Linked DNA regions of Arabidopsis thaliana. The protein of the gene in region 1 purifies or fractionates together with the protein of each later gene. This does not show direct contact. Each region holds a gene or a part of one and is shown in the gene's direction. Other genes may lie near its edges. The genes, in order: CDKC;1, AT3G58510, FKBP53 and AT2G42520.

What was found.
Region 2: the proteins of CDKC;1 (region 1) and AT3G58510 fractionate together in Arabidopsis thaliana (co-fractionation; one large-scale study listed by BioGRID). This does not show direct contact.
Region 3: the proteins of CDKC;1 (region 1) and FKBP53 fractionate together in Arabidopsis thaliana (co-fractionation; one large-scale study listed by BioGRID). This does not show direct contact.
Region 4: the proteins of CDKC;1 (region 1) and AT2G42520 fractionate together in Arabidopsis thaliana (co-fractionation; one large-scale study listed by BioGRID). This does not show direct contact.

The regions. Positions count from the first base shown.
Region 1 is NC_003076.8:3,220,236-3,227,520, reverse strand, and holds CDKC;1 (cyclin-dependent kinase C;1), read left to right. Parts: upstream 1-2,732; 5' UTR 2,733-2,846; coding exon 2,847-2,959; intron 2,960-3,138; coding exon 3,139-3,220; intron 3,221-3,347; coding exon 3,348-3,438; intron 3,439-3,539; coding exon 3,540-3,569; intron 3,570-3,661; coding exon 3,662-3,771; intron 3,772-3,860; coding exon 3,861-3,933; intron 3,934-4,006; coding exon 4,007-4,127; intron 4,128-4,243; coding exon 4,244-4,361; intron 4,362-4,667; coding exon 4,668-4,807; intron 4,808-4,888; coding exon 4,889-4,946; intron 4,947-5,098; coding exon 5,099-5,169; intron 5,170-5,295; coding exon 5,296-5,806; 3' UTR 5,807-6,028; downstream 6,029-7,285. Other genes in the region: RABH1e (RAB GTPase homolog H1E), read right to left, coding at 6,220-6,363, 6,462-6,552, 6,630-6,741, 6,880-6,968, 7,170-7,240.
Region 2 is NC_003074.8:21,637,596-21,645,233, forward strand, and holds AT3G58510 (DEA(D/H)-box RNA helicase family protein), read left to right. Parts: upstream 1-2,382; 5' UTR 2,383-2,454; exon of another isoform or gene 2,455-2,682; intron 2,683-2,906; 5' UTR 2,907-3,012; coding exon 3,013-3,744; intron 3,745-3,839; coding exon 3,840-3,923; intron 3,924-4,310; coding exon 4,311-4,553; intron 4,554-4,821; coding exon 4,822-4,983; intron 4,984-5,075; coding exon 5,076-5,189; intron 5,190-5,365; coding exon 5,366-5,869; 3' UTR 5,870-6,200; downstream 6,201-7,638. Other genes in the region: PP2A-4 (protein phosphatase 2A-4), read right to left, coding at 251-334, 449-505, 1,224-1,316; AT3G58520 (Ubiquitin carboxyl-terminal hydrolase family protein), read right to left, coding at 6,326-7,304, 7,405-7,638.
Region 3 is NC_003075.7:12,957,707-12,964,759, reverse strand, and holds FKBP53 (FK506 BINDING PROTEIN 53), read left to right. Parts: upstream 1-1,988; 5' UTR 1,989-2,127; coding exon 2,128-2,140; intron 2,141-2,224; coding exon 2,225-2,298; intron 2,299-2,421; coding exon 2,422-2,669; intron 2,670-2,776; coding exon 2,777-2,919; intron 2,920-3,189; coding exon 3,190-3,493; intron 3,494-3,588; coding exon 3,589-3,756; intron 3,757-3,957; coding exon 3,958-4,180; intron 4,181-4,552; coding exon 4,553-4,640; intron 4,641-4,746; coding exon 4,747-4,788; intron 4,789-4,865; coding exon of another isoform or gene 4,866-4,881; coding exon 4,882-4,930; intron 4,931-5,021; coding exon 5,022-5,103; 3' UTR 5,104-5,411; downstream 5,412-7,053. Other genes in the region: SHB1 (EXS (ERD1/XPR1/SYG1) family protein), read left to right, coding at 1-139, 231-335, 415-459, 540-971, 1,062-1,198, 1,276-1,378; AT4G25330 (SAWADEE protein), read right to left, coding at 6,077-6,153, 6,235-6,451, 6,531-6,926. UniProt on the Arabidopsis thaliana protein: PPIases accelerate the folding of proteins. It catalyzes the cis-trans isomerization of proline imidic peptide bonds in oligopeptides. Histone chaperone possibly involved in H3/H4 deposition to the nucleosome.
Region 4 is NC_003071.7:17,702,610-17,710,642, forward strand, and holds AT2G42520 (P-loop containing nucleoside triphosphate hydrolases superfamily protein), read left to right. Parts: upstream 1-2,131; 5' UTR 2,132-2,254; exon of another isoform or gene 2,255-2,425; intron 2,426-2,588; exon of another isoform or gene 2,589-2,657; 5' UTR 2,658-2,772; coding exon 2,773-3,528; intron 3,529-3,614; coding exon 3,615-3,698; intron 3,699-4,020; coding exon 4,021-4,263; intron 4,264-4,935; coding exon 4,936-5,103; intron 5,104-5,247; coding exon 5,248-5,361; intron 5,362-5,598; coding exon 5,599-6,135; 3' UTR 6,136-6,451; downstream 6,452-8,033. Other genes in the region: AT2G42510 (survival motor neuron interacting protein), read left to right, coding at 1-334, 702-731, 1,118-1,259, 1,339-1,554, 1,694-2,009; COR15B (cold regulated 15b), read right to left, coding at 6,582-6,810, 7,068-7,264.

The DNA.
Region 1 (7,285 bases):
ATCTGAAAGACCCTGTAAAAATAACATTGTTGCTTTTAAGAAGGTAGTAGCTAAAGCAAACAGGCTAAAGTGAATTATCTTTTCACGAAAGTGTAAGAGTTTAAAGACAAAACCGGGGAAGCTTTTTGCATGAAAAAGTAAGCCACATGGCCTGACTCAAAAAAGTACGAAGATCTCTGCATGAACATATACGTAAAGAACAGGATACACAATAGAATAATCTTGACAAAAGCATCATAAAAAGCTGTGCGAACTCTAAAACACATGGTTGGGGTTGGTAATTAAGTCAGGTCTTTAAATTGAGTTCCAATAAAGAAAATAAAGCTATCCAGGAGCAAACCTTATAAGTCACCTTTAGATCTGCTCTTTGTCCTAAACCTTTTGTATTTATTCTAGATTAGTAGCACTTAACATTAAGTAAACACTAACCTATTCTTTTGAGCTTCACAATTGTCCCTATCTTTTTCAGAGACACGGAAAAACACAAATTAAGAATTTCATCCAAAAATAATAATAACACTAAACAAATGATGATACAGTTTGAGATGCATGATTAGAATCTGTTAGTAAACTGTAGACTGATGGATGTGAACAACACAACGATTGCAGATGCCAACCACAACTTAAGATAATTCTTACCAAAAAAAAAAATCAATAAAACTTTGCATAAAAGTCTATAAATTTGACGATTTCCACAATATAATATTGTGGGCAGATAGATCTTTCAGAATACCTTTGACTTATACCCTCAGATAGATTATATTAGGTAAATCCTCTCATGGACTAGATCATTGCTAATTTGCTATTTCAACTGTTTAGTTTTCTAACAATTAGGATGATAAAAAATCTGGAAAACTCTCTTGTACATGAAGCAAACATGTGAATCAACACATTAACAAGCAGCACTCAACAACAACAACAACAACAAGACATCAGAATTATTACAACTTAGAATCCTGCAGTTTTGCTAGCTACCCCAAGAGGAGATGAGATACCTGAATTGAACTCTGGTTGCTGACCTTCGATAGCAAACTCCTACAGCTTGAAACTGAAACATGGTAACAGAGGCTTCTCATTGCCAATGTAGACTTAAATATGTGTTGCTTTGCATCATTTATGGACCAGAAAGTGGGATAGTTATACGTGTTGGACATAGAAGTCACAAATGGCTGACCACTCCCTTGAATTAAGAAACACAAGAATAAAATATCACTGAAATCACCAGAATAGTAGGAGATGGTAGAACAACTCCACTACGTAGTCATCATCCCACAGAAGAAAGTAGCTTGGAAGAGGAATGTTTTGGTTAGCTTGAAAACTACACCATCAGACAGAAAAATCAGTAAGTAGGATCATATCTCAACCCCATTGTGGAATATGAACCAAATATGCAAGTCAATTTCTTCTACAGACAGTGGATTGGATGAGAACATTGTTTATATATAGTCTTAACATTATTTTATCATTAGTTCATTTTGAAACTTCCATCAGTCAGATTCCCTATATATATAGTAAGTTCATAAAACTAAGAAGAAAAAGCCTATATATCTTTCATATCATTGTGGACCAACAAACTTAAACAAAACCAAAACATCAACGGATCAAGTTCAAGAAACATATATAGCACATACTTAAGATACTTATCTATCTTTCCCATCGCCCAAGTCGAACTCTAATATCGGTTACAAGAAAAAAAACCTAGCATGATTCATAAGAGATAAAAGAAATATCATCCATACGAAACAAAAGAAGGGAAGATTTATGTATAGGGTTTGATTCAAGTGAATGACCATAGAGAAACATTTTCCTAGAAATCACAAAACCCAAAATTAGACCTACCCACACCAAAATCAAACTTCCGAAATAACCGTCCTTCACCGATGTTAGCATGAAACCTAAATTGAATCGGGTGAGTTAGGAGTTAGGACCAATAGCCGATGTTAGGGTTTGACAATGAGTAGGGAGATAGTGAATCGTGTCTTCCTGTAGGTAAAGAAACCGAGATCTAGGGTTTGGTCGAGATTCGAATGTTCTCGTTCTTCCTTTGAACCAGAATGGTCGTGTACACGGTTAAATGGCGTGATAAGCACGCTAACACTTCAGGAGTAATCTGTTCCTATCGCACCTCTTGTCACAGACGGTGAACCCACTGGAAAACCTAAGTGATTTTCTTAATTTTCCCGCTATTTTTGGGATTTCTCAAATTCGCCTCCAATTTTATTTACGAAAATCAAATTTTATCTCGAGCAGTAAATCTAGGGCGTTCGAGTGTCCACTAGTTTTTCTCTTTCTTTATAATATATCTAAGCTTGAAAAATAAATATTAATCAAAATGTATGAATGTTTACTTTATAGAACAATTAATGTATGATTTTTGTAATTGCAATTTGTTTTTTTTTTTTGTGACTTGTGAGTGTGCTTGGCATTGGCATGTTAAACAATTTTGTTGTCAAGTCTTTTATGATGAGAAAGATACATAAGAAACATAATCCCATAATTCCAATTTTTAAAAAATGGAGTTTGTATTTTAATAAATACTTTTGAAAAGATTATTTTTGTTGTGGTATTTTTGAAAACCGGTCAATAAAAATGATATTTGATATTTCTTTCATTATTTTATTTAAATTTAACGGATGATCGCTAATTTACACCAACCGCTTGTTCAGGGTTAGACCGGTTCAAACCGGACAATTCATAGATTTAAACCGAAACGCTAATTACATAAATAAGCTGGGAAACCTACGGAGAGAGAGTTGTCTGAGAGAAAAGGAAAGCGATCGAGAAAGACGTAATTTGATCATCGGAGTAAAAGATATTGTTCGACAGTGGGACTCCCGGGAACGAAGATGGCGATGGCATCATTCGGGCAGCTAAATCTCGAGGAACCTCCTCCAATCTGGGGATCTCGCAGCGTTGATTGCTTTGAGAAGCTCGAACAAATTGGTGAAGGCACTTACGGGTTATTCACTTTCTCTTTAATTCAATTTCACTCTTTGGTTATTCAAAAGGCTTAATTTTTACTTGGGATTGATAAATTATTGGCCTTTGAAGCGATTTTTGATTGTATGATTAGGCTTTTACAATGCCTATGTTGTGTTGCTTTTAGGAGATTTGATTGTTGTTGTTTTGCTGTTGCAGTCAAGTTTACATGGCTAAAGAAATCAAAACTGGTGAAATTGTGGCTCTCAAAAAGATACGTATGGACAATGAAAGAGAAGGGGTATGTGAATTCTTCACTTTATATGGACTATACGTTTTTTTTATGATGCTCACTATGTTTAGAACAGATGCAAGTTTTTGTTTACGATAGGAATTGTAACCCATTGTTTACAACTGGTATGATGCAGTTTCCTATAACAGCTATTAGAGAGATAAAGATTCTGAAGAAGCTTCATCATGAAAATGTCATTCAGCTGAAAGAGATTGTGACTTCACCAGGTTTGTTTAAGGAACACATATGTTGCACTGAATTAAGTTAGCTATTTCTATATAAAGAGGTCTAAACATTTTGTGTTTTGAATGGTTCTGTCTCTTAAAAGGTCGGGACAGGGATGACCAAGGAAAGCCAGGTTTGTGAAAAAAAGTGATTTCAACTACTGTCTTAGTTTCTGCTTATTGAGGATTTCTTCTTAACTAAAGGTTGTGGCTTTTTCACCTATAGATAATAACAAATACAAGGGTGGCATCTACATGGTTTTTGAGTACATGGATCATGATTTGACTGGACTAGCAGATCGTCCTGGACTGAGATTTACTGTTCCTCAAATTAAGGTATTGCACGGCTAAATAGCTCGTTACTTCTATTAGCCTTTTTCATACTTATTGTTCAACTTTATTCTAACACTCAATCCATTTAAAAGTGTTACATGAAGCAATTGCTTACCGGGCTTCACTATTGTCATGTGAATCAAGTGCTTCACCGTGATATAAAAGGTGATTTTCCTTAATACAATGTTGATGTTTGGTTATCACCTTTACTTGCATATTAACCTAGATTTTGATCCAGGCTCAAATCTCCTTATCGACAATGAGGGAAATTTAAAGCTGGCTGATTTTGGGCTTGCACGGTCGTATTCTCATGATCATACTGGAAATCTTACAAATCGTGTCATCACATTGTGGTATAGGTAAGCCTAAAAATCGTCATTCAAAGTTTACATGATATACATAGATAGTCTTAATATTATGGTCTTTGCTAATTCATTGTTATTACTACTTTGCTGATTTACATATATTGCGGCAGGCCCCCTGAATTACTACTTGGGGCTACAAAATATGGCCCAGCAATTGACATGTGGTCGGTTGGTTGCATATTTGCCGAACTTTTGCATGCAAAACCAATCTTACCTGGGAAAAATGAGGTCAGCGTTTCATCTTTGCTGAAAGCGCAGTTCTTTTGAAAATTTCAGATGTTAAGACAGTGTGCTTTCGTGCCACTAATAATATAAGAATCTACATGGTCTCCTGGTTGCATTGTGATATCATTGGAGTAGAAAACCTAAGGGATTAACTAGAATTAGATTTATCGGCACTTTTATTTTGGGACCGTGGGAGGCTGGTTAGGTTCTTTGCATTATATCATGTATACAAAATGGTATAGACGCAGTTATGTATACATGTTATTGATAATCTCAAAAAAATATGTGCCATCTCCTACATTGTTTCAGCAAGAACAATTGAACAAGATATTTGAGCTTTGTGGATCACCTGATGAAAAACTTTGGCCTGGGGTTTCCAAGATGCCTTGGTTCAACAATTTCAAGCCTGCACGGCCCTTGAAGAGGCGTGTAAGAGAGTTCTTCAGACAGTAAGTAAAGTAAACCATTATATATCTCCGCTTTACTTTGATCAGAAGATTTCATTTGGCTTTACTTTCTCTTCTGTACAGCTTTGATCGGCATGCTCTTGAATTACTGGAGAAAATGTTGGTGCTTGATCCAGCACAGGTATCAGAGACCTTTATTCTTATTCCCAGCGAATTATCTTTCTTAAAAACTGTCTTTTACTGTTTTTTGGATGAAACATACCTCTTCAAGTCAGGACATTGTTAACACCATTTAGATATTTAATGTCTCCTTTTTTTCTTTCCCCTGTGTAGAGAATATCGGCAAAGGATGCTCTTGATGCCGAGTACTTTTGGACTGATCCGTTGCCATGTGACCCAAAGAGGTATTTGTATATTCTGATTTTCTCTGACAAAGTTCATGAAACTCATCTGGTGCATCATCATCTAGCTTATTAGACAGGCGATCGTGGGGAATTTTTTCTGACTAAATTAAGGTTTCATTTCAACAGTCTGCCCACATATGAATCATCACATGAGTTCCAGACAAAGAAAAAGCGGCAACAGCAGCGCCAAAACGAGGAAGCAGCAAAAAGACAGAAACTGCAGCATCCACCGCTGCAGCACTCTCGCTTACCCCCATTACAACATGGTGGACAGTCTCATGCTGCTCCACATTGGCCTGCAGGTCCAAACCATCCCACTAACAACGCACCACCACAAGTACCTGCTGGACCCAGCCACAACTTCTATGGGAAGCCGCGTGGTCCACCTGGTCCAAACCGCTACCCTCCTAGCGGAAACCAGAGCGGGGGTTATAATCAAAGCCGAGGAGGTTACAGCAGTGGATCATATCCTCCACAAGGACGTGGAGCTCCTTATGTGGCTGGTCCTAGAGGGCCTAGTGGTGGCCCGTACGGGGTTGGACCTCCTAACTACACACAAGGTGGTCAGTATGGTGGCTCTGGTAGCTCGGGAAGAGGGCAGAATCAGAGAAACCAGCAATACGGATGGCAACAGTAAAGAGCTCTAATGATTTGTTGATCTGATATCTTACTCTTACATTTAATGTGATACTAGTAATAAACTAATAATAGATTAATATGAGAAACTGAATCTCTTTCTTTTCCCAATTCTTTCCAAGTCTTATTTCGTTATCCAAACATTTTCTAGTAATGTCAAGATGGAGACTGACAGTGTGTGATGTAAAAGAAATGAGCAATGAGAACAGAGCAAAACATGCCATTCTTCTTCATAAGCTTTCAGACGTCTTTATTACACAACTCTATATTGAAAACAAAACCTCTCCAAAGAAAAACTAGAGTCTCCAAGTGTAATCACCTTTCCTCATACCAGGATTTATTTGTTCCATAAAATTATGAATCTTTCGTTTAAAAATCTTCCTATTCTGCTGCTGTGTATATATTTAAAACTGATTAACAAGCACAACCACCTCGTTGTTGCTCCCCTTGAGCCGAATTGCTCGAAGTCTTTAGATTCACATCAACCATATCCTCTTGTTTCGTTGAAGAAAGTGTTTCCATTCCTGGTAACGCTGCTGCAATCTTGCGAAAAAGTGGCTGCAAGTTTCCAAAACACCAGAACAAGAAAGCCAAGCGTTATTCCAAGAAATCTCAAGATCTTAAACGAGTAATGAGAGCATAGTTGCATCTCTCACCTTGATGTTAAATCCTGCTTTTGCACTGGTCTCAATGAATATTACTCCATAATCACGAGCTTTGTTATCACCTTCCTCAATCGACACTTGCCTGTCAAATGGAAATATCAAGTTGGATAGCTAAATAGAAAAAGCTTCCATGTCTCATTCTCGTCAAGTGTTTCTTACCTTTTGTCGACGAGATCTGTTTTGTTACCAACCAGAACAATGATGACATCGCTACCTCTCTCTGTACGAACATCCTCAATCCACTTGGATGTGTTCAAGAATGACTGCCTATCTATACATTAAAATAACAAAACAAAAAAGATGAGACTTTACACAGCATCCTTGCAAAAAGAAGGATCCTGTGTAGATTGTACACAAAAGAGGAAACTTTGATGGTAAAGCTGAAAAGTTCTCACAGAAGAAGCCTTACTTGCAACATCATAGACAATTACAGCAACAGAAGAATCTCTGATATAACTTGGTATTAGACTTCGAAATCTCTCCTGTCCTGCAGTATCCCTGCACAGTAATATGATTCAAAATGACATATAACTAAAAGAATGAACATGGTTGATACACAATGCTGAGAATTTCCATGGACATTTTGATGTTCCATTCAAACATTATACCAAACAATAAAGATTATGCTCATCTAGATATATATTTGATAAAGGTGAAAAGTTTTAGATCAAAAGATAGGAGCATATTGAATTGAATTACCATAGTTGGAGACGAACAGTCCTATCCTCAAGGTACATTGTTTTTGACAAAAAATCAATTCCAATGGTTGCCTGCAACAAAAACACCATAACTAATATCAGAATTTGATCCAATGA
Region 2 (7,638 bases), on another chromosome or scaffold:
CAAAAGAGTGTAAGATTAACATTTAATCAGGTTTTGTAAACGCCTGATGGTAGATGGACACCAAAAATTAGAACCCACTTTCAAATATAACCCCTAAGAAAAGGCTCTAAATAGTTCTGATTATTCAGTTAGAAACCACTCACACTTTGTAGTCCCCAGCCATAAATAATAATTGCTAGAAAGGATTGATGCAGACTAAATAACAAAACATGCATCTTTATGTCCATTGTGCAAGAGTTATAGATGTTACCTTTCCCCCAATACGGAAAAGCTCTGCAAGATCATGGAACTGTCCATGAATATCACCGCAGATTGTCACAGGGCTTTTAACAGGCTGCATACAGTAAGAATATAAAAATTAAGGCTCTTTAAACCAAATGATTGTTTAGTTACACAATCTACCACATGGGTTTTATAATTGGCACGAGATGCAAGATCAAGAACTGACCTGAACGTTGCTTTCATCCATTAAGATCTCCTTAGCTTTCTCACATAATGCTCTGACCTAAAGCAAATAAAAAAACACTGCACATAATAAATTCATCTTTCCCCTCTTTTACTTCCTAGAGAAATACAGGACTAACAGTATTATCCAGTTTAACATTAAAATGTCAAATTAGATACACCAATTTGACACAAGCAACAAGCACAAAGATCATCTACAGCCAAGAAGACTTTTTTACAGCTACTGATCAGTTTTTCCCTCGATATTAGCTTAGAAGAACTTTTATCGAATTGCAACCTCTCTCTCAACTTCAGCTAAATCTATTATCATTTAAGATACATTCCCCCAATTGGAAAATCCAGTAATGCATCTAACTGATGAGATTTTAACTAGCCAATCACCTAATCAAAAGGATACAATTTTGGCTGTGGGTGAGACAAATCCACAATACAAAGCATATTGAAATGCGAGCTAATCGCCTATTCAGAATCCAATACAGCCAGAAATCATTAAGAAACAAAAAAAAATGAAATCCATTTCTATCAACCCGTAAAACTGACGTGAAATGAGCTCTACACCTATACTAGAAGATCCTTCTCGAAGAATCAGATCATCATATACTCACAGAAATAATCCACCCTTGATTTGAAACAAAATCTGAGATCTAATCACCGAAATGGCCCAAAGTTCACTCGAAAAACTAAATTACAGATCCAATTTTAAACGAAGAAAACGAAAAGGTGCGAGGAAAGCTATATTCTAACACAATCACAGGCACCTGTTGCTCGGAGAGAGGCTTGCACTGCATGAGCTGCGAGATCTGCTCATCTAGATCGAGGGTTGCATCCGTTGGAAGCGAATTCGCGCCCATGTTTTTGGTAGTGCGTCGTCGTCTTCTTTCCTTCAAGTCGGATCCGGAAAACAGATCAGAAACGAGGCAAAGGTTTCCAGATTAGGGGCAGCCCTAACCCTAAATTGGATGGATTCTGCGTATTCTTCGCTTTTTTCTTTCTCTCTCTCTCTCGCCTTCGTGTGCAGAGTGAGAGAGGAAATCAAAACAAAGGGGCGCGTGAGGTAAAGGGGCGAGTGGGTTTGTAGCTTTCGAGCTGTGTCTTGATTTGACCATTATATCCTCCTCGTTGAGATCTAAATGATAAATTGACTAAAACACCCTTTAGTTTTCTTATAAAAGTGTTTAAATAGGTAATACACACAAAATTTGTAAAGTAGTTTTATTTCTTTTAATTAAACACACAAAAACTATATAAACATACAATACAACTATTGTTTTGAAGAATTTTTCATTTTTAACAAACATTTTAGTTTTTTCTCAAAAAACTATAATCTAAGTAAAATGTGTTTACATAAGGGTCTAGCTATGGGAAAATACATTATCAACTATTTATTCATAGCTAATGAAATGTAATTTTGATTTAGCCAAAACATCATTTTAATTAAAATTTGAATGGTTACAACATAAAATTTTGACCAAAATTTATGTGACATATATATTTTTATTCTCTCTAATGATGCATACTAAAATTTATGAACGATGAATGTAAAATACAAATTGATTTGCTCCTTCATGAAAAATAAATTTAACCAAAAAAAAAAGAAGAAATCTCTAATTATTGACAATTCATGAGAGTCCGAACATAAAAATAATATTCAAAATATAGGTTCATGAAAGATTTAGATTACTCTATTTTTGGAAATAAATATGGTTTGAACTTTTTTTTACATATAAGTTGAATCGTTTTTAAGTTAGATACAATTAAATTCAGAATAAACAATTTTAAAGTTCTAAAGATTTAAGTGTAAATTTGTTTCCCCAATAATTATTGTATATATGTTTTTCTCAAACTCTTATGAGTGTATATAATTAGATTTTAAATCAATTCTTAAAATATAAAACAAGCTAATCTCATTATCATACCATATTTTTGGCTTAAGGTCATTTTGAAGATTAATAACATGTCTATTTTATCGCGTTGTGTCCGATCCAGAAGGTAAACATCGAATTTAGGGTTTTTCTCTCCCCCGAGCTTGCTTTTCCGTTGGGTGAACGACTACCGTTGATTTTCTTCGTTTTTTTGGATACCGATTCGATTCTCTCTCACCGATTTTTGAGGTTCTTTCTCTATATCCTCTCGTTTTTTGTTTCCGCCTACGTTTATCTCTCGATTTCGAGCTGTATCAACTAGCTAGGGTTCCTTAATTGGTTTATTTCGTTTGAGGTGATACTCCTTTCTTCTTCTGTTTGCGTGATACGATTCTAATTTGCTTGCTTCGCTTGGCGTTCCCTGGCTGGGTTCTCTTTGTTTCTCTTCGTCTTGGTAGATTTGATTTCGGATTTTGGGGGTTTCCTGCTTATGGAGTTCGATTTTTACATTACACAGCTGCTATTGTGATTTCTATGATTGCGTTTGTGCTAACTATTGACCTATTTGGTATTTGCCAGGTTCTCTATTTTTCGTGGATAAGAAGATAAAGTTATTGTTTATTGATAAGTTTTCTGCTGGGAAGTTGCAACTTTTTCTAGATTTAGGACGTTACAAATTTCAATCATGAGTGCATCATGGGCAGATGTGGCTGATTCAGAGAAGGCCGTTTCTCAGTCAAAGCCTCCTTATGTTCCCCCACACCTACGGAACAGGCCATCAGAGCCTGTTGCTGCTCCTTTGCCACAAAATGATCATGCAGGGTATGGTGGTCAACCAGCTGGGTCTCGTTGGGCTCCTCCTAGCAGTGGGGGTGGTGGTGCCAGCGGCGGTGGCTATAGGAATGATGGAGGGCGCACTGGCTATGGTTATGGTGCTGGAGGAGGAGGTGGTGGTGGTGGTGGCTGGAACAACAGAAGTGGAGGGTGGGACCGTAGGGAACGTGAAGTAAACCCATTTGGAGATGATGCTGAGTTAGAACCGGTCTTTACAGAGCAGGAGAATACTGGCATTAATTTTGATGCCTATGAAGATATTCCAGTTGAGACCAGTGGGGGAGACGTGCCCCCTCCTGTTAACACATTTGCTGACATAGATCTTGGGGATGCATTAAATCTGAACATCCGGAGGTGCAAGTATGTGAGGCCAACACCGGTACAGCGTCATGCTATTCCAATACTGCTTGCAGAGAGAGATTTGATGGCCTGTGCCCAGACTGGGTCTGGGAAGACTGCTGCTTTTTGCTTTCCAATAATTAGTGGAATCATGAAAGATCAGCATGTAGAAAGACCCCGTGGTTCACGGGCGGTTTACCCTTTTGCAGTCATCCTCTCACCAACAAGGGAATTGGCATGCCAGGTAATATACACACCAACAAGAATAGAGTTTCTTCAGAAAGAAAAAATGTACGTGTATATAATATACACATTTCTCATTCTGTGATTTTCTTGCAGATACATGATGAAGCCAAAAAATTCTCCTACCAAACTGGTGTGAAGGTTGTTGTTGCTTATGGAGGAACACCCATTCACCAGCAGGTAATTATCATACACTTTTTTGTTTATTGGTTTTTAGCTTGTCATTGGAGTTTGGATTTTGCTACATGATTCTAGCACTGTTTTTTGTTTTATGTGAGTAGCAGCTTTCGCTTACTGATTTGAGTTCTGCTAGCTCTTTCCTTCCCAATGCCAGTCTCCTTTGTCAACATATGTTCTGATTTTGAAGTCAGCAATGCATAATGTTGGCGAAAATCAAATCTTGTATTACAAATTTTTTCATATGCTAGTTAACATTGTCGTATCGCTTGTATCATCTTTACATAACATGCAGAAGCATTGGAATTTTTAATCCTTGTTACAGGTGTTAGTTAGTCAAACAGTTTTCAAGCATCGATTTGTTGACCACATATTTTATTGTTTATTCAGCTCAGGGAACTCGAGAGGGGATGTGATATCCTTGTGGCAACTCCTGGCCGGTTAAATGATTTGCTTGAAAGAGCTAGAGTCTCAATGCAGATGATTAGGTTTTTAGCTCTAGATGAGGCAGACAGGATGCTGGACATGGGTTTTGAGCCACAGATTAGAAAGATTGTTGAGCAGATGGACATGCCTCCACGTGGGGTGAGACAGACAATGCTGTTCAGTGCTACATTTCCAAGTCAGATTCAGGTTGGTTTACTTGTCCATGAAACACCTTTTTCTTGCTCTTAAATTCTATTCTAGTGAAGTAGCATGGTAACAAAGAACAGGATAACAGTGTTCTTGGATTTATGTCTGTAACTCTGTTCCTTCCCAGATCATGAGGTGAATCTTTGATGATTTAGTCTTTAGAGTGTTATATTTCTTATGTGAGAACAGCTGCATAATATTCAGCACGCACAAGAATGATTGGTTCTTAACGTTTCTTTTAATATTACCGTATTTGTTTCCTGTGCAGAGACTTGCAGCTGATTTCATGTCAAACTATATATTTTTGGCTGTGGGAAGAGTTGGTTCAAGCACTGATTTAATTACCCAAAGGGTTGAGTTTGTCCAAGAGTCTGACAAGAGAAGCCATCTCATGGACCTGCTTCACGCGCAAAGAGAGACCCAAGACAAGGTAATGCATTATTTACCATCTGTTCACTTATCCAAGATTTATTATCACTGAAGCTCTGACTAATTCTGCCTTTCTTCACTTTTTATACACAGCAATCATTGACATTAGTTTTTGTGGAGACAAAGAGGGGAGCTGATACTTTGGAAAATTGGCTGTGCATGAATGAGTTTCCAGCAACCTCCATTCATGGCGATAGAACACAACAGGTTCGTTGATTGAGTTAAGTTGAAATTTGGATAATTGTGCACACTAAAGCTAAAACCAAACTATAGAAACAACCTCGATGATATTACTGAAATGAACTCTTTAAAGATCATCATCAGTAAGTTGTTCTCTGTTGACTCAATCTGATTGACTTCTTTATGTTGTTATGAATTCAAAGGAAAGAGAAGTGGCACTGAGGTCCTTCAAAACTGGGAGGACACCTATTTTGGTTGCAACAGACGTGGCAGCACGTGGTCTTGACATTCCCCACGTGGCTCATGTTGTAAACTTCGATCTACCAAATGACATTGATGACTATGTCCACCGTATCGGACGAACAGGACGTGCAGGCAAATCTGGAATAGCAACTGCCTTCTTCAACGAGAACAATGCACAACTGGCTAGGTCGCTTGCTGAGCTAATGCAAGAAGCCAATCAAGAGGTCCCCGAGTGGCTCACACGATATGCTTCACGTGCTTCATTTGGTGGTGGTAAGAAACGGTCTGGTGGTCGGTTTGGTGGCCGTGACTTCAGAAGGGAAGGCTCTTACAGTAGAGGAGGAGGCGGCGGCGGCGGAGGAGGCGGCAGTGATTACTATGGCGGAGGAGGCTATGGTGGTGGTGGATACGGTGGTGCTCCAAGCGGTGGGTATGGTGCTGGAGTGACCAGTGCTTGGGATTAGCCAATTAGGCTCCCCAATTTTTCCTCTTTTTAACCTGACTATTTATTTCTTCTCTTCTACATTCCCAAGAGAGCACGTGTATTTGCCCCCACCTTTGAGATCTCTCATTCAAGAGATGGATTTAACTAATCTTGCTATTAGGTGGATCTCTCTGTTTTTTCAGGCTATTTTTAGGATTTGTCCTAAAAGATAGACAGTAGTTTTTCCGATTTTGATCTTGTTCTTGGTTTCTTCTAACAATTTCATTTGTTAGTTTGAAATCCAATTTGTCTTTTTGTTTCCCTTTGTTGTTGACAATCTTTCTTGGTGAAATACAATCTCTCTTTATATCATTTTAAGGACTTTGTGCTTACATTGTTTAAACTCCGTTCCGTTACTTCAAAAAGATAAAATGCAGGTACATAAATTGTTGCTCTGTGTGAATTAACATACAACAATTAGATTCAACAACTATTGCTATTCAGCTTCAGAATCTTCTTCAAGCTCACTTCCTTCCACAATCTCTTCTTCTTCAGAGCCTTCTTCCTCAAGGTCATCCTCTGGCCTATCAAGCAAAAGTTCCTCTTTAGAGACCATGCCTAGCCCTCTCGCCCGATAAAGAAACCCTGTTCTCATCACATGATAAAACTTATCTCGAAGACGAGTGAGAGGATGCGGATCCACTAGTTTTCCTCGGCGATACCCTTCTTTGAGGATCACAGTTGTTGTCTTACACTTCAATGAGAGGTAGAAAATGCCGGGGTATCGCGTGAATAGACGAGTGAACTTGTGCGGAATGTTGAGCTCCGCTCTCATGCTTCTCAAGTAGTTCCTCTTGGTTTTCTTGTGGATAGTCAAGCTCAAGAGCTCGTGCAAAACAGCCACAGCTCGTTTCTCCATGAGATCGCTTTCCGGATCAATGTTACTCGGGTCATCGTAAGGAGATATGTAGGGAAGTTTTTGAAACTCATCCATCCATGCTTTGACCTTCTTCTGTGCTCCATATCCTCTAGGGAAACTCATAGGAAAAGTCAACGTAGACTGACCTCTCTTGAACTCGCGGTATCTAGACTCCTCCCCGGAAACATCATTGTCCTCGTTTCGCTTCTGCAGCGCCGAGAATGCGAACTCATCACGCCATTTTACAAGCTTTAAACACGGGTTACCATTAGAAGCCTTGACGAAGCAGAAATGATCAGGGTATTTCATGACTAGCGTCTTTTCGTAGTTATCGGGTAAACCGAGATCGAATTTGAGAGAATGTAGTGATCTAAGAGAGACAGTTTTTGATCTCATCATCATCAGAACTCTACAGAGTCTCTCCACTGTATCAGCCTCGTGGCTTTGATGAATAATCTCTTCTTGTGAGTCAAGCATTAGTGCTGTGTCCGTTAGCTTGAAACATGGTAAGCTTGCGTAACGAGCATGAGGAAATTCGTGAAACAGAGTCGGATACCTGCAAAAATGTCAAGACTTTCATTACCATTCTTACAAAATTGATTTCTTTCTAAACCGTTTGTTCCAGTAACAATTGAAATTTTCTCTGATTGTGATACCTGCGCAAGAAGCGGAGAACAGGGACGGTGAGACCAAGGAGTTTTTGCCAATCGGCGACGGATTTTGCGGTGAGGAAACCAGTGGGAGATCGCTTTATGGCGTCTTTGAGGATACAAGCTGCTTTGAGATCGGTCTCAGTATCAATGACGTGATCCAGGTTCTTGTTCTTCACCCACTTCAGTCTCACCTTTGTCATTGCACCCATTCCTCGCCATTGTTGATGCTGGTGAAAC
Region 3 (7,053 bases), on another chromosome or scaffold:
TAGACATGTTCTACTTCTCAGCTTTGGTCTTGGTACACTTTCTTTATGTGCTGTCTTATTAAACCTTGACATGGAAATGGATGCTCAAACAAAAGATTACAGATTAGTCACCGAACTTATCCCCCTCTTTCTTCTCGTAGTAAGTTCCTTCTATCTCTCTCTATTTCTCAGTACATTTTACACAACTCAATCTTTGTTTTTAGTAAGACTCGTTTCTCTGCATATTGCAGTTAGTGATTATCATTGTTCTCTGCCCCTTTAACATTTTGTATCGGTCAAGCCGATTCTTCTTCCTCTCGGTTCTGTTCCGCTGCATTGCTGCACCATTTTACGCGGTACCAACAACATATCCTCCTCTCCATTCATCTGAAGCATAAACAGAAATGTTAAGAAGAATGTCTTCCATTTTTGCAGGTGCATCTTCCGGACTTTTTCTTGGGAGATCAACTAACAAGCCAGGTTCGAGAAAATCTATACTCGATAAGATAGCTTCATACTTATTTTGATCGATGATTTCTGATTTAAACAATCAATGCTAGGTTCAAGCACTGAGGAGTCTAGAGTTCTACATATGCTACTATGGTTTTGGAGATTTCAGATATAGACGACGAAACACCTGCACATCAAATATTGGATTCAGAACATTCTACTTCATCGTCGCCGTTATACCTTACTGGTTACGGTTTCTTCAGTGCATCCGAAGAATGGTGGAAGACAGAGATCTGAGTCATGGCTACAATGGCATCAAATACCTTTTGACCATCGTTGCTGCTTCTCTTAGAACAGCTTATACTCTAAACCGAGGAAGCAACTGGAATATCACAGCTTGGGTTTTCTCAGGAGTTGCAACGTTTTACGGAACTTACTGGGACATTGTTCTTGACTGGGGATTGCTTCAAAGAGGATGTAAGAATAGTTTCTTGAGAGACAAGCTTCTTGTTCCTCACAAAACCGTGTACTACGCTGCAATGGTGAGAGCAAACAGAAAACAGCAATAACCTCTGTTTTTGTTTTTTCTTTATACATATATGGTGAAGATTGTTGCTTCATGTACTTGGCAGGTCCTGAATGTTTTGTTGAGGTTAGTGTGGTTGCAAACAGTTTTGGATCTGAAATTCTCTTTCTTGCATAGAGAAACTATGGTCGCGCTTATGGCTTGCCTTGAGATCATACGCAGAGGTATCTGGAACTTCTTTAGGTAAGCTCCGAGACTGAGAAGATGGTGTTTTCATGCATGAATCTACACAAAACTAATGAAATGTAATTGTTGATTAGGCTGGAGAATGAGCATTTGAACAACGTTGGGAGATACAGGGCGTTCAAAACTGTCCCGTTACCGTTCAACTACGAAGAAGATGGAGATCATCATAACAATTAGCTTAACAAGAAAATACTTGGTTTCACAAAATTACCTAAACAACAACTAAACTTTTCACCGCTGTTCCGGTATACAACTGTAACGATCGAGCTTTGCCTCTCCGCTGTATTCTTCAGAGAGCCAACTCGAGGCTGGCTCACTCTCAGGGTCAGACCTAAGCGATGGTAGAATTATGGAGAAATCAAGTGGAAATCTCTTCGTTCCTTGGTAACAAGAGATACAAACACTTAACTAACTTGGTTACATACAACAAAAAGACATTACTTTGTACACTTACTTCAGATTTTGACAAGAAAGATAGAAACTCACGTCATTGTACAGTGTGTTTAGGTCTCAATATTGTATTGTTTTGTTGAAAGATAGGTCTCATATTGTTTTATTTAAAACAAAATTTCTGAATTTGCGTTTACATGAGAGAAAATTATAGATTTTTTTTTCAAATTAACTCTAGTAAAATAATGAACACAAATTAAATGTTATCAAATATGAAGAGTATCTTGACAATACCATTTACTTTACGATTTATGACAGACCAATATATGGGCTTCATTGGGGCTTCATTGGGGCTTCATTGAATTTCAAAGTCTGTTAAGGCCCAAACTGAGAGCGCGGTTGCACAAATTGTCGAAATTTCTCGAAACCGCTTTAATCTCGATATAAAGCTCGTCTGCTAAAAACCTTCGATTAGGGTTTTAGTCTGTAGAAACAAAGTTGCCGCTTCGATTCCAAGGAGTAACCTAGCTGAGAAAATGGGATTCTGGGGTTAGTTTTCTCTGCTCAGTGTTTTCTTTGATTTTCCCGGAGCATGATTCCTAGGTTCTGATTTTGTGTTGTTAACATATGCAGGACTTGAAGTGAAACCTGGGAAGCCTCAAGCTTATAATCCAAAAAATGAACAAGGAAAGATTCACGTGACCCAGGTACTATACTCTTGTTCCTTCGAGCTGATTTGGGATATGAATTGTATATTTGTGTAGTCTAGTTTTGGAATCTGAATATGTTTGATATATCTATTGATGTATGTATGTTTTGCCATCATTCAGGCAACTCTAGGTACGGGTTTGAGCAAAGAAAAGAGTGTGATTCAGTGTTCAATAGGAGACAAGGCTCCTATTGCTTTGTGTTCATTGTTGCCAAACAAAATCGAATGTTGCCCTCTGAATCTTGAGTTTGACGATGATGATGAGCCAGTGGAATTCACCGTGACTGGTGACAGAAGTATCCACTTGTCTGGATTCTTGGAGTATTATCAGGACGATGAAGATGATTATGAGCATGATGAAGATGATTCGTATCCTTTCATTGTTACTAGTTTACTTTAGCAAATAATGCTTTCTTGTTTTTCTATTATTCCATCTGTTTAGAAATCTTAATGTTTTCATTGCGACTATATTATAGAGATGGTATTGATGTTGGTGAGTCTGAGGAAGACGATTCGTGTGAATATGATAGTGAAGAGGATGAGCAATTGGATGAATTTGAAGACTTCCTTGATAGCAATCTTGAAAGGTATCGGAATGCTGCTGCCCCAAAGAGTGGAGGTACTTTTTCTTACAGAGATCCTTATCAGATTGCATCTTAGTACTTCCATTTTAGCTTAGTGTGATTGCTTGATTCGTCACTCTTGTCTTATAACTAGAAGGTTTCAAAAAGATATTGATAAAAGACTTTTCAAATGTATGTCCGTAAATTTAAGCTTTTGTACAAGTGTGTCTCCTTGGTGCTGATCCTGTTCTACATTTGTGTTAATAGTTTATATGATTGATCTTTCCTTGTTCTGTTAAAACTAATCTGAATGATATCTTTGCTAGTTATAATTGAGGAGATAGAAGATGAAGAGAAACCTGCCAAAGATAATAAGGCAAAACAAACCAAGAAGAAGAGTCAAGCTAGCGAAGGTGAGAATGCAAAGAAACAAATCGTTGCCATAGAGGGTGCCCATGTTCCAGTTTTGGAAAGCGAAGATGAAGACGAAGACGGTTTACCTATTCCTAAAGGAAAATCATCTGAAGTAGAGAATGCGTCAGGTGAGAAGATGGTTGTAGATAATGACGAACAAGGTAGTAACAAGAAACGGAAGGCCAAGGCTGCTGAGCAAGATGATGGACAAGAAAGGTACTACTCTCTTTGCTCTCTATTGACTCTGAGGACAGAGTTCACATATTTTATATATCGTGGGGATACGAAGTTGTTTCTAAAATCTGTTCCAGTGCAAACAAGAGTAAAAAGAAGAAAAATCAGAAAGAGAAGAAGAAAGGGGAAAATGTCTTAAATGAGGAAGCTGGACAAGTTCAGACGGGAAATGTTCTGAAGAAGCAGGATATTAGCCAAATTTCTTCAAACACAAAAGCTCAAGATGGAACTGCAAACAATGCCATGTGAGAACTCTTATTTCTTGATTTGAGAACTTTTTTGGTGATAACAGATTGTGTTTATGTCATTTGTGAAATATCAGTAAGTAAGTATTTGAATTATTACTCACATAGATCACAAAGTAAAAAACGCTTATGAGTATACAGCGGTTCTTTCAAACTTTTTCTCCTAACAAAAGTCTGTGCTTTTTTATGGTATTATTGCAGGAGTGAAAGCTCCAAGACCCCAGATAAATCTGCTGAGAAGAAAACTAAAAATAAGAAAAAGAAGAAACCAAGTGACGAAGCTGCAGAAATTTCTGGTACTGTTGAGAAGCAAACCCCAGCGGACTCCAAGTCTTCTCAAGTACGGACATACCCAAATGGGCTCATTGTTGAAGAGTTGAGCATGGGAAAACCCAACGGCAAGAGAGCTGATCCTGGAAAAACGGTATGCACACTTAAAGTCATAAATTGCACACATAATATCATATGGTTACTGCAATCTCATATAGATTATGCAACAAGGTGGTAGTGTGATAAGAATGTGGGTGTTGAAAGAATTGACACTAGATAGAAAGTGAGCAAAGTAATACCTTGTTAGACTTAGACCTAAGAGCACCAAAGAATATACATTAAATAGGAAGTGAACAAACTAATGGCTTGTAAAACCTACAAACACTCAAACCCTTAAGTTGTGGTTAACTCTGGCTAATTGTCTTTGTGAACTTGGTTTGAATCCAAAATCCTATTAGAGTGCATCAATGTATTTGTGTGTTTTCCCAAATCTTTTTGGAGCTCATTCTATTGTCTCTGAGTGCAGGTTTCTGTGCGCTATATTGGAAAACTTCAGAAGAATGGGAAGATTTTCGATTCCAACATTGGAAAATCACCATTTAAGTTTCGTCTAGGTTGGTATTATAACTAGATTCAAAGATAATAGCTTGGGAAATTGGTTGAGAATTACAGTGTATTGCTGGTGTAAGTGATACTTTATGTTCTTATTGTAACGTGTAGGTATTGGATCAGTCATTAAGGGATGGGATGTTGGAGTTAATGGTATATATCTTAATTTCTTACTGTTTTTTTACTTATAACTTTGTTCAAAAAGTGAATCGTGTTGTATTCATCTCAAGTTTTTGAATTCCACAGGCATGCGCGTTGGTGACAAAAGGAAGCTTACAATTCCTCCATCAATGGGGTAAGTAAACTCATTTTGATTTATGTTATTTTGAATTAGCAATGTTTTGTTAAACCTTTTTAATGGGATGATAATATTGTTTGGCTCCCAGGTATGGTGTGAAGGGTGCTGGTGGCCAGATTCCTCCTAATTCTTGGCTGACTTTTGATGTCGAACTGATTAATGTTCAATAAAACTGCCCTGAATTCATAGAATCTCTGATGAGGGGTTTCTGAATGGTGTTGTAGCTGCAAAAGATTGTTTCTTTCCTTTTTAACACTTGAATCTTTTTGAAAAATGGATTTGTGTTTCAAGTGATAAGACCATAGCATTTGTTTCCCAGATTTCCTCTTCCAGATAGCTTTTGTTGGCCTATTTTACACTTGCTTAAAAACCAAAAATTGGAATCATACAAATGCTGTTTACATAGTAGATGGACTTGAACCCAAAAAGGGGCCAATCAACTTTAAGCCAGATTTTATAGCAACGACAACCCCGACTCGTGAATCCGTTCAATTGAATAATGTAAATAATACCCCTTTTTTTTGGTGTAAATAAAGTGATTATAGTTTCTTCTTCATTAGTTAGTATTCAATGATTCATTTGTGGAAAGTCTCTCTCACTAGTCTCTAATCAAGGTCTCTCTACTCTCAGGTACAGTTACGTCACCATCATCACCGTGACGAATTTGTCATTTTTGTACCGTCAGAAAGACTTTGACCTATTTCTTGTTCTGCAAGTTCTTTTTTACTGTTATTTCTGACCTTTTGACCCGTTTTTATTTTTTTATTTTTGTAACATTGATGATCCACCATACGTCACCATTATTCTCCGTCGCAATGGCAATCTCTACGGCGGGCCTCTGGTTTCTGATATCTTAATGTTTTTAGAATTGGAATTTCTCATTTTTGATGTTCGGCTCCTAAGTATTTGATGGACTATGATTGTGAACTTTAGAGTTTGCAAATGTAATTATCAATTATGCCTCTGTTTACAAAACCTTATGTGATGTTCATCAACACAATTAAATCAAGCATATATATTTCAGACCAAGGACTTCAACAACAAGAAAAAAAAAAACAAGGAGTGATAGGCATGAACTAAGAGACTTCCCCAAACTAGAGTATTCAGTTTTTTTTTTGCAACACACTAAGCAACATAACATAATCATCCATCAACGCTTAAGTTGTTTTGAATAGCAGAATTCACCTTCTCAAGAATCTTTTGCCACTCTGTCTCTTCCCCTGTTTCACACATATACACTAATCCGTTACATAGTAAGTTTTTAATCATAAGACAAAAGAAAGATAAGTGTAATAAATTACCTTGATTACATGTTTCTCCATGAAGCTTCCTTCTAGCTTCTTTCAAGAACGAAACCACTTTTGGATTTATTCGATTATCCTTTGCTCTGAGACAAATATCTCCAACTTTCGCAGTAGTCACTTGGTTAATCCAAGGACCTTGTTTCCAGAAAAGTTTGAAATCACATCCACAAATTTCGTTCCCTTCCTCGTCTCGTTCATGCTTCGTCCTCTCCACCTATATACACAAAAACCGTATTACTCAAACCGGAGTTGAGATTTCAAACACTAAACCGGGATTAATTTCTAGAACTCACCGTAACGACGATAGCGTCGTAGAACTTGACTTCTTCGGTGACGGAAGGAAACGTGGCGCAGACCTGGGTGCCTTCATGGACCTTGGGACATTCGATGTCTTGCATCTGCTCGGAACAAGCTCGAAACCTCTCTTCGAATTCTTGAATCTCGTCGGAGTTTTTGAAATCGTCAGCTGGATAAAACTCGTCGTGCTCATAAGAGAAGCCGTTGAAGCTGATCCACAAAGCGTCACAGATGTCAGAAAATTCTACGGCGTACCAAGCTTCGTCCTCCGCTGAACGGAACTCTAGTTCCGGCCAGTTTTCATCGGACCAGTCGACGTCATCGGCGAACTCGCCGGAGAAAACCGTCGGACTAGTAGCCCCACTCTGATTAGAAGTTAGAGAGTTGTGCATCTTCTTTGGGTTTTGTTTAGAAGTGATAACGATTGAAGTGTAGTGAAGAAGCCATGCAAGCTCTCTTTATAGACCAAAAACTCTCTGTAAAAGTAATTTTCTCTGTTAGCTCTACCAGTCAAAACAT
Region 4 (8,033 bases), on another chromosome or scaffold:
TTGTTTGATGTTGTTCCTTTCTACAAGAAAGGTAAAGATCATTCTAAGAGACCAGTAACTGCACACACTGATAAGGATGCACCAAGAAAGCATAAGAAAGTTGGAGTAGAGAAACCGATTGATAAGGGAAATGCTTCTAGCATTGTTGAAAGGAATGCGTCAACCAAAGTTTCTGACTTTCGTAACAGTGGAGAAATGAATGGGAAGCAGTTGCGGATAATGTACTCTAGGAACCAAATGGAGTCGATGAGGTATGCCCACATTGCGAATCAGAAGAAACTGTGGAGTGACTTGTATGCTAGACTCCTACCTGAGCTGGTGACTGAGTACGAAGGTTTGAAGAATCACAAGAGTATCCTCGGTAACCCTCCACTTACTTTACTTTTATCTTAGCTGCTGCATTTTGTGGTGTTGCCTGTTTTTAGTTGAACATGTTGAGGAAACTTTTAGGTCTAATAGAAATATGTCACTCCAAGTTAAGATTACTTAGCTCATGTATAACCTTAAGCTATATCTGCTGCATTTTTGTTTGTGTGTGTCACTCAAATGGCTTTTTCTTTGCTACGGTTTTATGGTGATTTCCTTCTCTAATGGTCATCTCAAAGTGACAAATCCAGTCGGGCTTAGTGTCTGCGACTCTTTCAGCAGTGGTTGTTCCTAAGTATCTTTTTGATAGGGGCCGTTTGTTTTCTTTTCCACAGGTCCCATATCGGCTGTACCAAGACGAACCCGTCTCTTTGTACATTGACCTGAAGAAATCTGTCGAAGCCTGTGTTTCATAAATCCTGTGTTCACCAATTTTTCCTTTTCTAAGAAACAATACATTCTTTCTGTATATAGATTCTTTAGTTCAGATTGTTTAAAGGGGTCTAGAGAGTTTGTTTGGTTCAAAGTGTGTATGGCCATGATTTTATCGGCTAAAAAGTTGTACATGTTCATACATCTTCAATAAAAATCAATACCTTTGAAAGCTAAATCTTTTTGATGGGCTTAGTTCTTTTCTTTGTTTTTATTGGTTTCTTCAATAGAAATCAAAACTGAGATTCCAAGAAAATGTGACTTTTTGTTTCTTCATGAGAACATTTAGGCAAGGAATTGATGACTTAACTACTTGAAGAAGACTATGTTGTAAAAGAGGAGAAAACTGAAGATAATGACGATTACAATAGCATTTTGAGGCCTGCGTTTGCTGTGGATGGAGAACCTGATTTCGATTCTGGACCACCAGAAGACGGGATTGAATATTTAAGACGAGTCAGGTATATATGTCACTCTGTTTCAATCTTTCTGTGTATCTGCATTTAGGCATATATGGTTAAGTTGTTTCCATCATTTAAGGTGGGAGGCTAAGCGAATTCCAAATGTAAAAGTAGCCAAGGTAAGTGGAAGCAAGTACAGAGAGAAAGAGCAAAGTGTTTACATGCCACAAATTCCCAGAGCACCTGCAACCGGTGAAGGAATGGGAGGACTCGTTGCTTTCCGACTTCTCACACATTCGTCTGGTATTCCTTTCTTCCAACTTGCATACTTATCAGTGTTTCTCTTAACGGACAAGTAATGACTTTAAGTTTTATGGGTTTTTCACAGGCTTTAAAACAAAATGGCAACGAGTCTTTAGGAGATGTACTCATGGAGATATTCAGTAAACGTCCCCACACAAACATTGATGAGTCATTTGGTGGGATGGTTTCAGAGATACAAGGAATGGACTCAGTGACACGGGTATCAAAGCTGAGAAAGCGGATATGTTTGGTGAAAAGGAGAGCGGTTTAGAGAGTAGCGACTGCAAATGGGTAGTAGCATTATGTGCATCAGTGGACACTCCTCCGGATGCTGATACTAGTGCTTGTCTCAGAGCTCTTGTGAGAAAGTGTGCGAGTCTTCGTGCGTTAGAGGTTGGAGTCTTGGAGATGAACAAGTTATCATTATGGCAAATATGCTCATCACCATCGCAGGCAGATATTTTGGCCAAATGGAATGAGAGGAGAAGTGTGTTTACAACAGTTTAAATTTTAAATTCATTAAAAACTAAAAGAAAGAGAGTTCAACATAAGTCGCCGACATACAATCCAGAACGAGAAAACTAAACCGACACGCAAGTTGAAAGATTGATGAAAACGGGACGCAATCTGGTTTGATAAGAGAAGAACAAAAAAGTCAAAATAATTAAAAAATATCTCTCGACCTCTCTTTTCTCTCTATTGATTCTATCGCTCTGCGCATTTGTATCTTGCTCTGTCTCCGATACCAAAAGGTAATTCAAAGGAATTTTAGGGTTTACCGTTGATTTCTTCGATTCGATTTTTTGGGACGTGTTTTGAGGATTCTTCTATCTCTGGGTTTACGCTGATTGATTTCGAGAGCTGTAGCTAGGGTTATCTGCTACTCTTTGTTGCAAATTTTGTTTTTGTTATTCCTTTTTGAGGTGAACATTGTTCTTCTCTTTGCGTGATTCTGTTGGCATTTGTCTTGTTATATTCTTCGTTTGATTATATGCTCTTCTCCGAAGACTGGACTTTTGTTATTCGGTCGATTCGATTATGATGTTTTTTGAGGTTTTGATAGGGCTTCGTTATTTAAAGATGTTCCTAGCTGCTTGCTATTGATATCCGTGGAGTGCTATTGTTCTAACTGAAACCCATCTTGTAACTTTCCAGGTTTTTGTATTCTATTGAAGATTATAAACTAAAGGGAGGAGCTTTGAGAATTTGATTGTTGATATCCAAGGATTTGCAAGCTAGTTTTTTTTTTACGACGTTATACTTTTCGATTATGAGTGCATCATGGGCTGATGTAGCTGACTCAGAGAACACGGGTTCTGGGTCTTCTAATCAGAATTCTCATCCTTCACGACCTGCTTATGTTCCTCCACATCTAAGGAACAGGCCAGCAGCTTCTGAGCCTGTTGCTCCATTGCCAGCTAATGATCGTGTAGGTTATGGTGGTCCACCTTCTGGCTCTCGATGGGCTCCTGGTGGTAGTGGTGTTGGTGTTGGAGGTGGTGGTGGTTATAGGGCTGATGCAGGTCGTCCTGGCTCTGGCTCTGGCTATGGTGGACGAGGAGGTGGTGGTTGGAACAACAGAAGCGGAGGGTGGGACCGTAGGGAACGTGAAGTAAACCCCTTTGAAAATGATGATTCCGAACCAGAACCAGCTTTTACTGAGCAGGATAATACGGTTATTAATTTTGATGCCTATGAAGATATTCCGATTGAGACCAGTGGGGATAATGTGCCTCCTCCTGTTAACACATTCGCAGAGATAGATCTCGGGGAGGCATTGAATCTAAATATCCGTAGATGCAAATATGTTAAGCCAACACCTGTTCAGCGTCATGCGATTCCGATATTGCTTGAAGGGAGGGATTTGATGGCCTGTGCTCAGACAGGGTCGGGGAAGACAGCTGCTTTTTGCTTTCCAATCATTAGTGGAATAATGAAAGATCAGCATGTACAGAGACCCCGTGGTTCACGAACAGTCTACCCTCTTGCAGTTATTCTCTCACCAACAAGAGAGTTGGCAAGTCAGGTTGGGGTTCTCTTCTGATGTCAAGATTCTTCGCTTTGGTAGAAGTTAGTTAGTTTCTCATATCTTGTTCTAATGATTTTTGGCAGATACATGATGAGGCTAAAAAGTTCTCTTACCAAACTGGTGTGAAGGTGGTTGTTGCATATGGAGGAACACCTATTAACCAGCAGGTATGTAATGAGCAAATAGTTTGTTTTTTTCTACTTTTTTGTTTGAACTTTTGATTTCTGAGTTTTGTTTCATGCGTCTGTCACTGCTGTCTGTTTTGTGTCGTCTCTTAGGCTGATTGTTTTGGGTTAAGCATGTTCGTTTCTAAGGCTGCTTAACTTAGTTAAAAGCATGTTTTGGTTTGGAGCCAGCATTTTTCTATATTAAGGATTTATCAATATATGACATGCAGAAGCATTGCTATATGTCGTAGCTGTATCTATGTGTTACTTAATCTGTTTTCAAAAGTCAACATGTTGATCTTGTGTCTTGTTGTTTGTGCAGCTCCGGGAACTTGAGAGGGGAGTCGATATTCTTGTGGCAACGCCTGGTCGATTAAATGATTTGCTCGAGAGAGCTAGAGTCTCAATGCAGATGATTAGATTTTTAGCTCTTGATGAGGCCGATAGAATGCTTGACATGGGTTTTGAACCACAAATTAGAAAGATTGTCGAACAAATGGACATGCCTCCACGTGGAGTTAGACAGACACTGTTGTTTAGTGCTACATTTCCAAGAGAAATTCAGGTTGGTTACTTGTCTGTAAATCACTTTTTCTTTATTCACCTTCTCATTGGTTGAAATATCATTTTTAGTGAACTTCTTCACTTTCTGACTACTACCCCTGCCTTGCTCCGAATTTTTATTTAAGTTTCTTTGCCATGTGTGTTGATTCTTGTGTTCCATACTTTTTCCTTGCAAATTATCTGCTTGTTACATTTTCTATGTTGGGGTTTTGTCGTAACAACCTTCTGTGTCCAGTTATATCCATTTGGTCCTCTGAAAAAAATGAGGGGGAAAAAGAAATGTCCAACTTAAACTGAAAGTGTATGTGAATAGTATATACAAAGCTATATGCATGGTTTCTGCAGAGGTTATATCTTTTCTGAGAGAGGTTTTCTTGTTGTAAAGCTGATTACATGACTTTTAGTCCTACTATTATTCTAGCTAGGCTATGCAGGGGTAAATTTATCCATTTTTATAAAACGATGGTCAATGCCAGTTAACTGACATGGTATTAATAGTTCTATGTGTCAGAAGATTATATGCCACTTCATTAATGGATGATGGTGAACCTATTATGGCAAGCTTTAGATTAATGAAGTTTCATACTTTTGTTTCCTGATTAAGCTGCATAATATAGAATGTTTCTGCATAATCACTTGCAAATTTTAAAAGATTGTATTGTTTCATGTGCAGAGACTCGCAGCTGACTTCCTAGCAAATTATATATTTTTGGCTGTGGGTAGAGTGGGTTCAAGTACCGATTTAATTGTCCAAAGGGTTGAGTTTGTCCTTGACTCTGACAAAAGAAGTCATCTCATGGACCTGCTTCACGCTCAGAGAGAGAATGGCATCCAAGGCAAGGTACAAACTGATACTCCTCTTTTGTTTGGAAGGAATCATCTATTGTTTAGTTCATGATTTATTACCAAAGTAGCTGGTCTTGCCTCAATATTTCAACATGCTCCTTCATACTTTCTGATGATTGTATTCTTTCCATATTTTCAGCAAGCCCTGACCTTAGTTTTTGTGGAGACAAAGAGAGGAGCTGACTCTTTGGAAAATTGGTTGTGCATCAATGGGTTTCCAGCAACCTCCATTCACGGTGACAGAACACAGCAGGTTTGTTATTCAACTTAAAGCTGAAAATGTTGTATGTTAATGTGGACATCAAAATCCAGTCGTACAAATTCATTATTGAGACCAAAGAGAAGATCTCGTGTTAAAATATAGTTCATTGAACTAAAGCTTAAACATAAGTCAAAATCTGAAGGAAAAACTATTGAAATGCACTCTTTGATCATCATTATCAATAAGTGTTAGGAACTAAGTTATTGTGTTGCTATATATGCATTGAAGGAAAGAGAAGTGGCATTGAAAGCCTTCAAGAGTGGGAGAACACCGATTTTGGTTGCAACTGATGTAGCAGCACGTGGCCTTGACATTCCCCACGTGGCTCATGTGGTCAACTTCGATCTGCCAAATGACATTGATGACTATGTCCACCGTATTGGACGAACAGGACGTGCTGGCAAATCAGGACTAGCAACTGCCTTCTTCAACGATGGCAACACCTCACTGGCCAGACCGCTCGCTGAGCTGATGCAAGAAGCTAACCAAGAAGTCCCTGAGTGGCTCACTCGGTATGCGTCACGGTCCTCTTTTGGTGGTGGTAAGAACCGGCGGTCTGGTGGTCGATTTGGTGGCCGTGACTTTAGAAGGGAAGGGTCTTTCGGTAGCGGTAGAGGAGGCTATGGCGGTGGAGGAGGAGGGTATGGCGGCGGAGGAGGCTATGGTGGTGGAGGAGGCTATGGCGGCGGAGGAGGCTATGGTGGTGGATATGGTGGTGCTTCAAGTGGTGGATATGGTGGAGAACCTCCAAGTGCTTGGGACTAAGCTTCCAATGTTCTTTTTGTTTTGGTTACAACTTTTGACAAAAAAAATATTTCTTCTACATTCACAAAGAGAGTATGTATTGCCCCTTACACCTATGAGATTTCACTCAGGAGATGGATATATAACAATTGTTGATGTTTTAGGTGTTTTGATCTTTTTAGGCTATTATTAGGGGTTGTCATAAAAACAGTCATCAGTTTCACAGTTTCTTTATAATTGAGGATCAAAATGAGAGAAGATTTTGACAGATTTTTCCCGAATCCAACTCATAAATACTACTATGTTACTTGTAGTCACTAAAATGTAGTTTATATTTAAATCATTTGATACGTATTTAAAATGTGCTAGTGAGTAATTAACAGCTCTTCATTTCAAATGGTGAAAAAGAAATTACAACAAACTGATCTTATTGTAAACTATTGAACATGACTACATGAGTGGTTGAATCAGGACTTTGTGGCATTCTTAGCCTCTTCTGCTTTACCCTCTACGAACTCAGCCGCCTTGTTTCCGGCTTCTTTTCCTTTCTCAGTCACATAATCCAAAGCTTTCTTAGCTTCCTCAGTCGCAGTTTCATTGGCTTCAATGGTTTTCTCAACAATGTAGTCTTTTGTTTTCTCGCCATCCGCCAAGGCCTCCTTCGTCTTATCCGTCACGAAATCAGAAGCTTTCTTTCTATATATATATATATATATGTTAAGATTCATTATTGACAAACGATTTTAAAAACATATATCTACACCATGGAAACTCAATCCTCAACAAGGCCATTATAGTTGATTATAGTATGTATAAAACTGTTATGATGGGATTAACCAAAATAAAATAACTATCATGGCGAGTACGTAATGTATATGAGAGTTTTTGCGAGTACACATGAAGATAGCCTTAGTCACGAGAAAATTTGTTAAAAGAAAAGAATATAGACTCACGTGGCTTCGTTGAGGTCATCGAGGATGTTGCCGTCACTTTTAACGGCGTATATCAACGACTTCTTGCGCTGAGCAACGACGACGAGCTCACTCTTCCGGCCAACTCTGACGGTACCAACACCACTCTGCTTTGCTCCTACGTTGTGGAAAGAAGAACCCATGCCACTGAGAACAGCTCCTGATAAAGACATCGCCATGAGGACTCTTAAAGATGTTTTTTGGGAGGAAAATAAATACAAGAAAGAGTTTTAAGATGGAGAAAGTGAGATGAGAAAAATCTAACCTCCAATAGTATCGTTTTATAGATCTCTCGACCAATGAGAATCCAAAACTACACGTGTGAGTGCTAGATATTTTTGCGCATTGCTATTATCTTTAACTATCGAATAAGAAGAGTTTTCGTTGGTTCGTACTAGTTACGTGTAACCATTTCTATGGTTACCAAAAGAAAAAAGAGGTCGGCCATCAAGTTGTGGTTATAACCGTTATACACATGTTAGCATTTTTGGCTACGATATTTACATGTTAGCATTTCTGTTTTATTTGCAACTTTCAACATTAATAACTAGACTCGATAGAGATATATATATAAAGGAAAAATGTATTAGTCGTTAAGCTGAAAATGTACAAGTCTTTGTGTATGTCTATTTAGTCATTTTTAGCAATTAGCTAGGTTAAAACAACTTTTAACATTTTTTCAATTAAGTACAAACTGTAGTTAAACTACTAATAGTATATAGATATATTTCTAAGAACCTAATACTCCAATGTTAAATAAACAAAAACAAAAACTCACACTTCAATGCCTAATTGTTATACTATAATTATAAATACCAATGTTACTTTCAAATATAACTATTTTGCTCAACAGCAAAAACGCTATTTACAATGCCTAATATTTTTTTTTTTGATAAATATGAAATAGAGCATGTACCAGCCAAGAATGAGCTTATTAGATATGTCCCA